Linked DNA regions of Caenorhabditis elegans. The protein of the gene in region 2 purifies or fractionates together with the protein of the main gene of each other region. This does not show direct contact. Each region holds a gene or a part of one and is shown on either strand. Other genes may lie near its edges.

Region 1 (3,831 bases), on a different chromosome or scaffold from region 2:
AATTTTTAATGATATTTAACTGAAAAAAAGTACATTTTTCGGAACAAAAATGAATTTTAAGTCTTAATTTTCATTTATTTTTTGAAAAAATGGCCCGTTTTCGGTGTCAAAACTACTGTACCTGGTCTCGAAGCGAAGATTTTTTATGCCAAATATTGTGCGCCTTTAAAGAGTACTGTAATTTCCAAATTTCATTTCTGCAGAATTTTCCTTAATTTGCCATAGTTTTTATGATAAAAAGTAAAAAAAAAAGTTTAAAATGTCAGAAATTCTATCAGAACTGGAGAGAAAATATGAAAATTGTTTTTTTTTTTCAAATTTTTTTACAGTTTTTCTCCAGTTATGTTGAAATTTATAATATTTTACAGTTTTCTTGTATTTTTTAATTTTTTATTTGAGTTTATCTTTTTTTTTTAATCGATAATTTATCGAAAAACTACAAAAAATCAATAAAAATTCCGCAACAACGAAAGTTTAAAACTACAGTACTCTTTAAAGGCGCACATCCTTCTGCAACTAAAAAAATTGTCGCTTCGATACCAGCTACCGTATTTTTAGCGAAAAAATCGCATTTTTCACGATTATTCTTCGATTTTGTCTGAAAAATTGGTAAAAACTGAAAAGTTAGGCTCCTGGACTTTTTTATTTAGAATTTTTCTGAAAAAAAAAAGTTTTTGCCGAATTTTATGCCAAATATTGTAAAATTTTAAAACGTTTTAAATTACTACCTAATAAAACTGAAAAAATAAAAAAAAAAGAGAACTCTACGAAAGGAAAATCAAAGAAAAAACTAATTTTTTGGGTTTTTAGAATATTTGATTTTTTTAAAACAATTTCAGTGTAAAAGTAAGAAATAGACATTGAAATTTACAAAAAAACGGCATTTTTTTTCGAAAAAAAAAAGTGATTTTGCACTTTATAAGATGAAGATAGTAACAAAAACAGACAACAATAAAATGAAAAAACTGCAAAAAATCAATTAAATAATTCCCCAAATCTCCTCAAGTCCACTGGTCACTTTGGCACAAGTCAACGCTGCACTCAATGGATAATTGCTGATCTTGGTCTCAGAATCGTTGTAATCGACGACGATCTTTCCACGAGCAATTCCACCGATAATAAGGACCAGAGGCTCGTCGGTTTCCGGTGCAACAAGCTTATTAGCCATTGTTAGCTCAGGTACATTGAACGACATGAGCATCTTACGGGATCCCACTGGAAGATGGTTCGACACTGGATTCTTCACTACTGACATCAGCTTTTGAGTGGTTTCGGCGGCTCGAATGGAGAGTTTGTGCAGGAGTTGGACTGAAAATATGGAAAATAGAAAATAGGGGGATTTTGCATAAAAATACCTAATTGCAAGAAAAGTCACAAAAAATCCAATAAAAAGTATTTTAAAGCATGTTTTTGAAAATTGGATTTTTGTGCTCTTTTTTGTGAATTTTTTTTTGATTTTCAGACTATTTTGGGGTATTTTGAATCCGGGTATTTTTAAAAGGAAAAGGGTATTTTTAAAAATTTATGTTTAAATTTGATAAAAAATAATTTTTAAAAAACTCGAAAAATTGTCTTTTTTCTTATTTTACATACAAAAACACTTCAAAATATATTTTTTTCAATTTCCAATAAACCAAAAACTCACCCATAAGTCCACAGAATCGATCAAAAGTTCTTGGAATTCTGCACTGTGGTGAGACATCAACGAGCACATTCTTGCTCGTTCTAAAGAAGACACGAAGCTTTCCGGCTCTGTTAAGCGGACTATCAAGTAGATTCAACAAGCATTGATGTAGGATATCTGGCCGATAATCAGCCGGATCTTTTTTCTGTTTTCTCAGAAAATTCGCGTGTTTATCACTGCTCAAAATTGCGTATTCTCCACCGACTTTTGCAGTTTCAAGACTACATCCTTCCAGTACAACGTACAAAATCTTCTTGTCCTCCAATTGATTATCCGTCTTCATGCGCTTCGCATTTGGCGGTGCAACTGTATCGTACTCGTGGGACATCTGAAATTCGGAGAAATTAATTTTTTTTGTCATAAAGTAATTTTTTTAGGACCAAAAATCGAATTTTCAATAATTCTGATGAAAAAAAAATTATTTTCTGAATAATATTGTGATTTTTTATAGTTTAGCACAAATTTTAAATAAAAGCTGTGGGAACAACGATAGGTCGTTCTGTAAAATTTTCGAAAAAATGCCGCTTTTTTGGAAATAAAATTGAGTTTTTCGACTTTTGGAAAAATTTCTAATTTTCCATATCTATCAATATAGGAATATACATAATTTTTGATAAATTAAAAGTTTTCACTTCTTTTTTCGTTTTTCGATATTTTTTCGTCAAAAACACTGAAAAATTTCTGCGGAGAAAATGTAAGTCGAAAATCAAAAAACTCAAAAACTCAAAAACGAAAAAATTTGTAAATTTGAACGGTTTTTCAAAAATTTCAGTGAGTTCCTTTTTTTGTCGAATTTCCCCTAAAACATGAAAATTTAACTAAATATTTTATTTCGGGATTTTTGAATTAACGAAAAATGGTTTTATTTTATTTTTTCGATTTTTGAAGCTCCTGTAAAGATTTTTATAAAACAAGTTCAAAAAATAATATGATGGTTTTTAAACCGAAAATAATTCTCACAGAAAAAAAAACTCAACAAAAATATAAATATCGAGATCAATCTTCATTGCAAATAGTACAAAAAATATCAAAATTACTTCAAAATAGTCATAAAAAAGTCGGAAACAACTCGCGGGAGCTGCAACTTCGAGATCGAGTCCTCCACAATTTTATCATTGATATGAAGCCAAACTTTTCTGAAAAAAAAGAGGATTTGAGGTGAATTTTTCAGCTGAAAAAAAAACCCACCGAAACGAGGTATTTGTCACATTTGTGCTCTCGTCTGCCTTCAAAATTCCCATTTTAACGAGATGATCCAATTCTCGGAATACGTAGACATCACTGCTCACGTTCAGTGGAGGATAGTGTTGATTAACGAGTTTTTTGAATTCTGAAATTACGGAGAAAATAGATTTTTAAAAAATAAGCTTAAAATTTTCATGTTTTTTCTCATCAATATAATCGAAAATTAGATTTAAAAAAAATCATATTTTATGGTTAATTTTCTGAACATTTTCTTAATTTTTCGGAAATTCAAAAAATCGAAAAATTTTTCGTTTTTCAATTTTTAAAAATTCGAAAAATCGAAAATTCCGAGATAAATTTTAAAAAATACCTAGAAAAACGTTTCGATACGAAGTTTTTGGCGCCAAAAGTGGTCCATCTGACTCTTTATTCTGCACAAGTCTCCAGACACAAAGAAAAACGCATTGTGCTCGAACTGTTTGATCTGAAAATTTGAAAAATTTTTAGAATTTCACTGGAATTATTAAATTTTTGAGCCGAAAAAACAGTATATAATTAGTTTTTTCTAGATTTTACCGGATTTTTTTAATTTTTCAGAAAAATTTCAAAAGCTGTAAAGATTAAAATAGGTTTTGATTGAAAATCACGATTTTTGCATGATTTTTTACATTTTAAAGTTGTTTAAAATTTGAAATTTGTTCCGAAAAAAAAAGGTAAAAAATTACTTTATCAGCTCAATTTCCAGATTTGAAATCAGAATTTTTAATTCTTTGCGGAATTTCAAAAAGTGAACTTGAATTGTTCATTTTTTGTTTTCAAAATTAGAAAATCGTGGGTTTTTTCTGCCTTTTTCAAAGTTTTAGCAGAATTTCTACCTTTTAAAATCAACAATTTTCCATTATACGAGGGAGAAGTCGTCTCGACAATTTTACGAATCTGTTTGCTGATTTCCTCGGGTTTCC
Region 2 (4,778 bases):
TGCCTCATAACATGTCAGAGTATTATCAGGCTATACCTTAACAAAATCCCAGTTCAGTTTGCCCTATTTCACCTTTAATAAACAATTTTCAGGCACCAAAGTGTCCTCTCGTCCCAGCTCAAAAGCTTCAAAACTCAATGAGCAATTCAATCAGAAGCACAAAGCGTCTACACCATCTCCAACTAAAAAACCATCCGAATCTTCCGTAACTCCATCTTCTGCAACATCATTCAAACCAAAAGAAGCATATTCTCCATCGAAATCCTTTTTCAGTTATGAAATGGGCGGAGTCGGAACAACATCAGCTTCAGAAATAAATGAAAAAATATTAATTTCAAATGAAATTCCAGTTGATGAAATATCAAAAGAAGAAGAAGAAAAAGCAGAAAAAGAATTAAATGAAATAATAAAAGAATTAAAATCAGATGAAGAAGCTGTCGATGGAGAGAAAGATGTTGGAGAATTAAAAACACGAGAAGTCAATATGACATCTGAAAATGGAGAAGAGAATTCTGAAAATTCACATTCAAATGATACATCAACAGATGCAAAAGCGGTCAAATCTAGTAAAACAACGATGAATTCAAACTTTATTTTAATTTCTATATCTTCCATTTTATTTTGCAAATATTTCACTTAAATTGTAGACTCTTTTAATAAACCTGGTGCTTTCTGTCGATATATTGAGCAAAAAATTTAATAAAGGAAATGATTTTTTTTTTGAGTTTTCAGATTTCTTGAGGTTTCTGCAGACTGACAAATGAACAAATAGGATAATTATCAAGCAAATTTATTGATTACGAAAAATCGTGATCAACTTGTAGTAATAAATACGTGAAATGGAATAATAATTATGGAATAAAGCGATCATGTGTGCGGGATGGTGGGGGCTACTGATTTTGAATCTAAATGAGGCTCAGGGGAATAGAATTAATGGAATTTAGGGGAACAAGTGAAAATGAAACCAAAATAAATGTATGTGATTACTAGAAGGCTTACAAGCACTTTTATCAAGTTGATTATTACAATAATCTCAGAATTTTAATGGGCAATTCCAATTACGTCAGGTTGAGCTGGTCCTTGTGATTTGGCGAGCATATCTGCACTGATTTTGAGGTTTCGAGGCTGCTCCCATGGGAAATTATTGTGTCCAAAGTGTCCGTTTTCAGCAGTTGGCTCGTAAATTGGTCTCTTCAAGTCAAGATTCCTGAAAACAGTAAAAATAGTGAAACATAAAAAAAAACGCTTACTTGATAATCTTTCCCGGTCTCAGATCGAAGTTATCATTCACAATGGTCAATAAATCCTCCTCGCTGAGAGCAGAAGTTCCAAATGAAAAGACCATCACAGAAAGAGGCTTAGCAACTCCGATGGCGTATGAAACTTGAACAAGGCAACGACGGCAAAGTCCAGCTTTGACAAGTGACTTGGCAACCCAACGAGCAGCATATGCGGCAGAACGATCGACTTTGGTTGGGTCCTTTCCAGAGAAAGCACCTCCTCCGTGAGCTCCCCATCCTCCGTAGGTATCAACGATGATCTTACGTCCAGTAAGTCCAGCATCTCCCATTGGTCCTCCAATAATGAATGATCCACATGGATTGAGATGATAGATGGTCTTGTCGTCGATGAGATTGGCAGGAATTACAGCTTTGATAACCTAAAACCGAACAATAAATATAGCTGTATTTTTATTAATATTTTTAATTACCTTTTCGATGAGTTCCTTTCTCAAATCATCGAGACTGATATCTGGAGAATGTTGGGTGGAGATAACAACAGTGTGGACGCGTAGTGGGACACATGCTCCTCCTTCCGAAGCATATTCGATTGTGACTTGGGTCTTCGAGTCCGGACGAACCCATTCGAGCTCTCCAGATCTACGGAGCTCGTGAAGCTTCCGGTTCAGCTTGTGAGACAAGAGAAGAGTCAATGGCATCGCTTCTTCGGTTTCATCAGTAGCATATCCAAACATAATTCCTTGATCTCCGGCTCCGACATCGTCACTATCCTTGTCCACGTGGACTCCAGCAGCGATTTCAGGTGATTGTTGTTCGAGTGCAACAAGAACATTGCATGTCTTGTAATCGAATCCTGAAAATGAATACTGTATTTAATCAATAAACCAAGAAAATGAGATTCCTGACACAATGTGATGAGCCAATAGTGTAGAAACGAAATTATATTCTTCATACCTTTCGAGGAATCATCGTATCCAATTTTCTTAATGACGTTTCGGACGAGAACCTGGTAGTCGACGACAGCTTTCGAGGTGATCTCACCGCACAACATGATCATACCCGTTTTAGTCACCGTTTCTGTAATCAAAGTAACCGTTGTAACAGGTAAAGAAACATATTGTTGCGATAAGCTTCAGCCCCGTTTCCCGCATCATCCAACACCCGTAGAGCCTGAAATCAGAGACATGAATAGGCGAAATGCAAAAGAACCACAGTGATAGGTACGAGTTCACTGTTGATCCTTCTGCAAATCAAATTCACAACACAAATATCAATATCATGTTAATTCTGAGGTTAACACGACGCGAGTGTATTGAATCTGACCGCCTGTCTTCCATATCGCCGAATCTCTGAATGTTGTACGGATAATAATTGGGACTTTTGCTCATCGCAGCTCCATGTTGTTGTTGACATTTCGTTGGAGGATATCCAAAAGTCCTGAATCACTCACCACAAGCAACCTTAGCGTGAGGGTCTTGAGCCAGATGAGCGTCAAGAACAGCGTCCGAGATCTGAAAAACAAACATGAGAATGATAGACAGCTGCTTTCGAGCACGTGGGCCAATTTTCTACGCTTCGGAGATAACGTTTTGTTTGAAACTATACACATTTTGTCCCATAACTAACTTTTTACGAACTTGACAGATTTTTTTTTTCAACAGTAGCGTATTTCCAATCAAAAAATTTGATGGATTTGTTTATCTGGAAAAGACGATTTCTTATCAAATATAACTTACTTGGTCACACATCTTGTCGGGATGCCCCTCGGAGACAGATTCGGAGGTGAAAAGGAACTTGTGTTGCGGCATTTTATTTCGTTGATGGATGTTTGAAAGCGTCCGTCTGAAAGAGCGATGATATTTAGCTCAAATAAATAAAGGAAAGCGAGGAAGCGGAGGTGGGTTGAATAGAGGGCGGAGCGCCACGCAACAAAGAGAGACACAATACTCTGCGTCTTGTTGGAAACACGTTGCTCTAAAGTATAGTTTTGAGGGCGTTTTTTAGATTGCAATAAAACACAATTTTTTTGCGAGACAAGTGTGAATATTAGCCCGGAAAGCTCTACTTTTATACCATGAAGGTTGAACCTAGATCATCAGAAAACTACAGAGATTTAGAGAAAAAGGGAGCGAGAATTTTCGAAAAAAGAAGGATCAAAACAATTCTAAGGGCAAACCGTTATCTAAGGATGAGGAATTATGAAACACGTGTTATTTGAAACACCACAATAATATTTATATAAATATACGATGTTTAGAAATAAGAACACTGAGGAAGTTTTACTGTCATATTTTTGAAGAACATAAATCGAGATAAGGAAAAATATATAAAAGTCTTAGAGAACAAGACAGGCGACGTTTACAATCTAGAAAAATAAATGTCTAAAACTTTCGAAATATGCGTTCGAAGATTGTACAGATGAACCGGGAACACGGACAAAAAATCTTCGGAATTGAAGTCTCGCTGAACCTTATTGAAAGCTTCAGCAGATAAAGACAACTCACTTACACTCTTCGACGATGAAACGGTCAATGTTTTTTTTAATGTTATGCACTCCGAGAAATTTTGATAAAATTTCACGTTTTCACGTGTGGATATAGCCGAGTTCACTATGTTATCACGTTTTTACTCAATTCTTTTTAAAAGTATTATTATTGCAACAAGATCATTCCCAGCCTATACTATTGTGCAGAACATCGTTTGCAAGAAAAAAAGCTGTCGAGAGGGCAAAATCGGCCTGAACAAAGTTATTGCAAAACTTTGACATACTTTTTTATGTTTGATCATACGATTTTCATCGCTCTCCTCAAATTCATATTTGTTTTTATTTCCTCTAACAGTGTAATTGTGCTAATGGATATATGATCATGAAACTATTCAATTTGCAGAAAATCAATAGACTTTGCCCTTTTGTAAAAGCGCAGAAGCTCAGTTTCCACAACATGAAAAAAGCAAATACTCTAGACTTTAGGAACGGATTATAGTAGCCATTATCAGTAATGTAAACTTTAAAAAGCAAAGGAATCAAGAAAACAGGTTCTAATTTAGAACAAATAGCAACTTGGTAAATAAGAATTGGCCTTGTACTTTTAAGTTTGTAGTCTCACTTGCTTTTTGTCATGGTGTTTTGCTCAATTATCGAGAAACTGTAAGAATGATGAAACTACTTCCAAAATGTTTAATCGTATTTAACAAACACGTGGGTTAAATAGAAAAATAAATTATATCTCAAATAGAACAGTGATTTTTCACTGAAAAAAACGGATTTTAAAGCCTTTTTAAACCTAATCAAGCAGAAAAAACAATTAATACGATATTCGATATTTTTCCGTAACTTTTCTTGTTAATTCCGATATCTAGGAATCTCATATCTCGATTATTTCGATCTATTCATGATAGGGGAAAGCTTTCAGATATTTCCAGTTTCTAATTAGCGAAACAGATCTAATCTAGAACATTTATCGCCATCCGTGAGACAGCTGTTAAATTCTAGTTTAAGGATCGGCTAAAATTCGAATAAAATGCGACGAAAATTCA

Evidence for each region.
Region 1: the proteins of sams-4 (region 2) and emg-1 fractionate together in Caenorhabditis elegans (co-fractionation; one large-scale study listed by BioGRID). This does not show direct contact.

The regions. Positions count from the first base shown.
Region 1 is NC_003281.10:10,647,700-10,651,530, reverse strand, and holds emg-1 (Ribosomal RNA small subunit methyltransferase nep-1), read right to left. Parts: upstream 2,013-3,831; coding exon 1,646-2,012; intron 1,309-1,645; coding exon 980-1,308; 3' UTR 623-979; downstream 1-622. Other genes in the region: orc-4 (ORC (Origin Recognition Complex) subunit), read right to left, coding at 2,718-2,820, 2,873-3,014, 3,240-3,353, 3,745-3,831.
Region 2 is NC_003282.8:5,843,287-5,848,064, forward strand, and holds sams-4 (putative S-adenosylmethionine synthase 4), read right to left. Parts: upstream 3,084-4,778; 5' UTR 3,050-3,083; coding exon 2,978-3,049; intron 2,753-2,977; coding exon 2,692-2,752; exon of another isoform or gene 2,319-2,691; coding exon 2,196-2,318; intron 2,095-2,195; coding exon 1,712-2,094; intron 1,661-1,711; coding exon 1,251-1,660; intron 1,208-1,250; coding exon 1,042-1,207; 3' UTR 775-1,041; downstream 1-774. Other genes in the region: C06E7.2 (uncharacterized protein), read left to right, coding at 93-640. UniProt on the Caenorhabditis elegans protein: Catalyzes the formation of S-adenosylmethionine from methionine and ATP. The reaction comprises two steps that are both catalyzed by the same enzyme: formation of S-adenosylmethionine (AdoMet) and triphosphate, and subsequent hydrolysis of the triphosphate.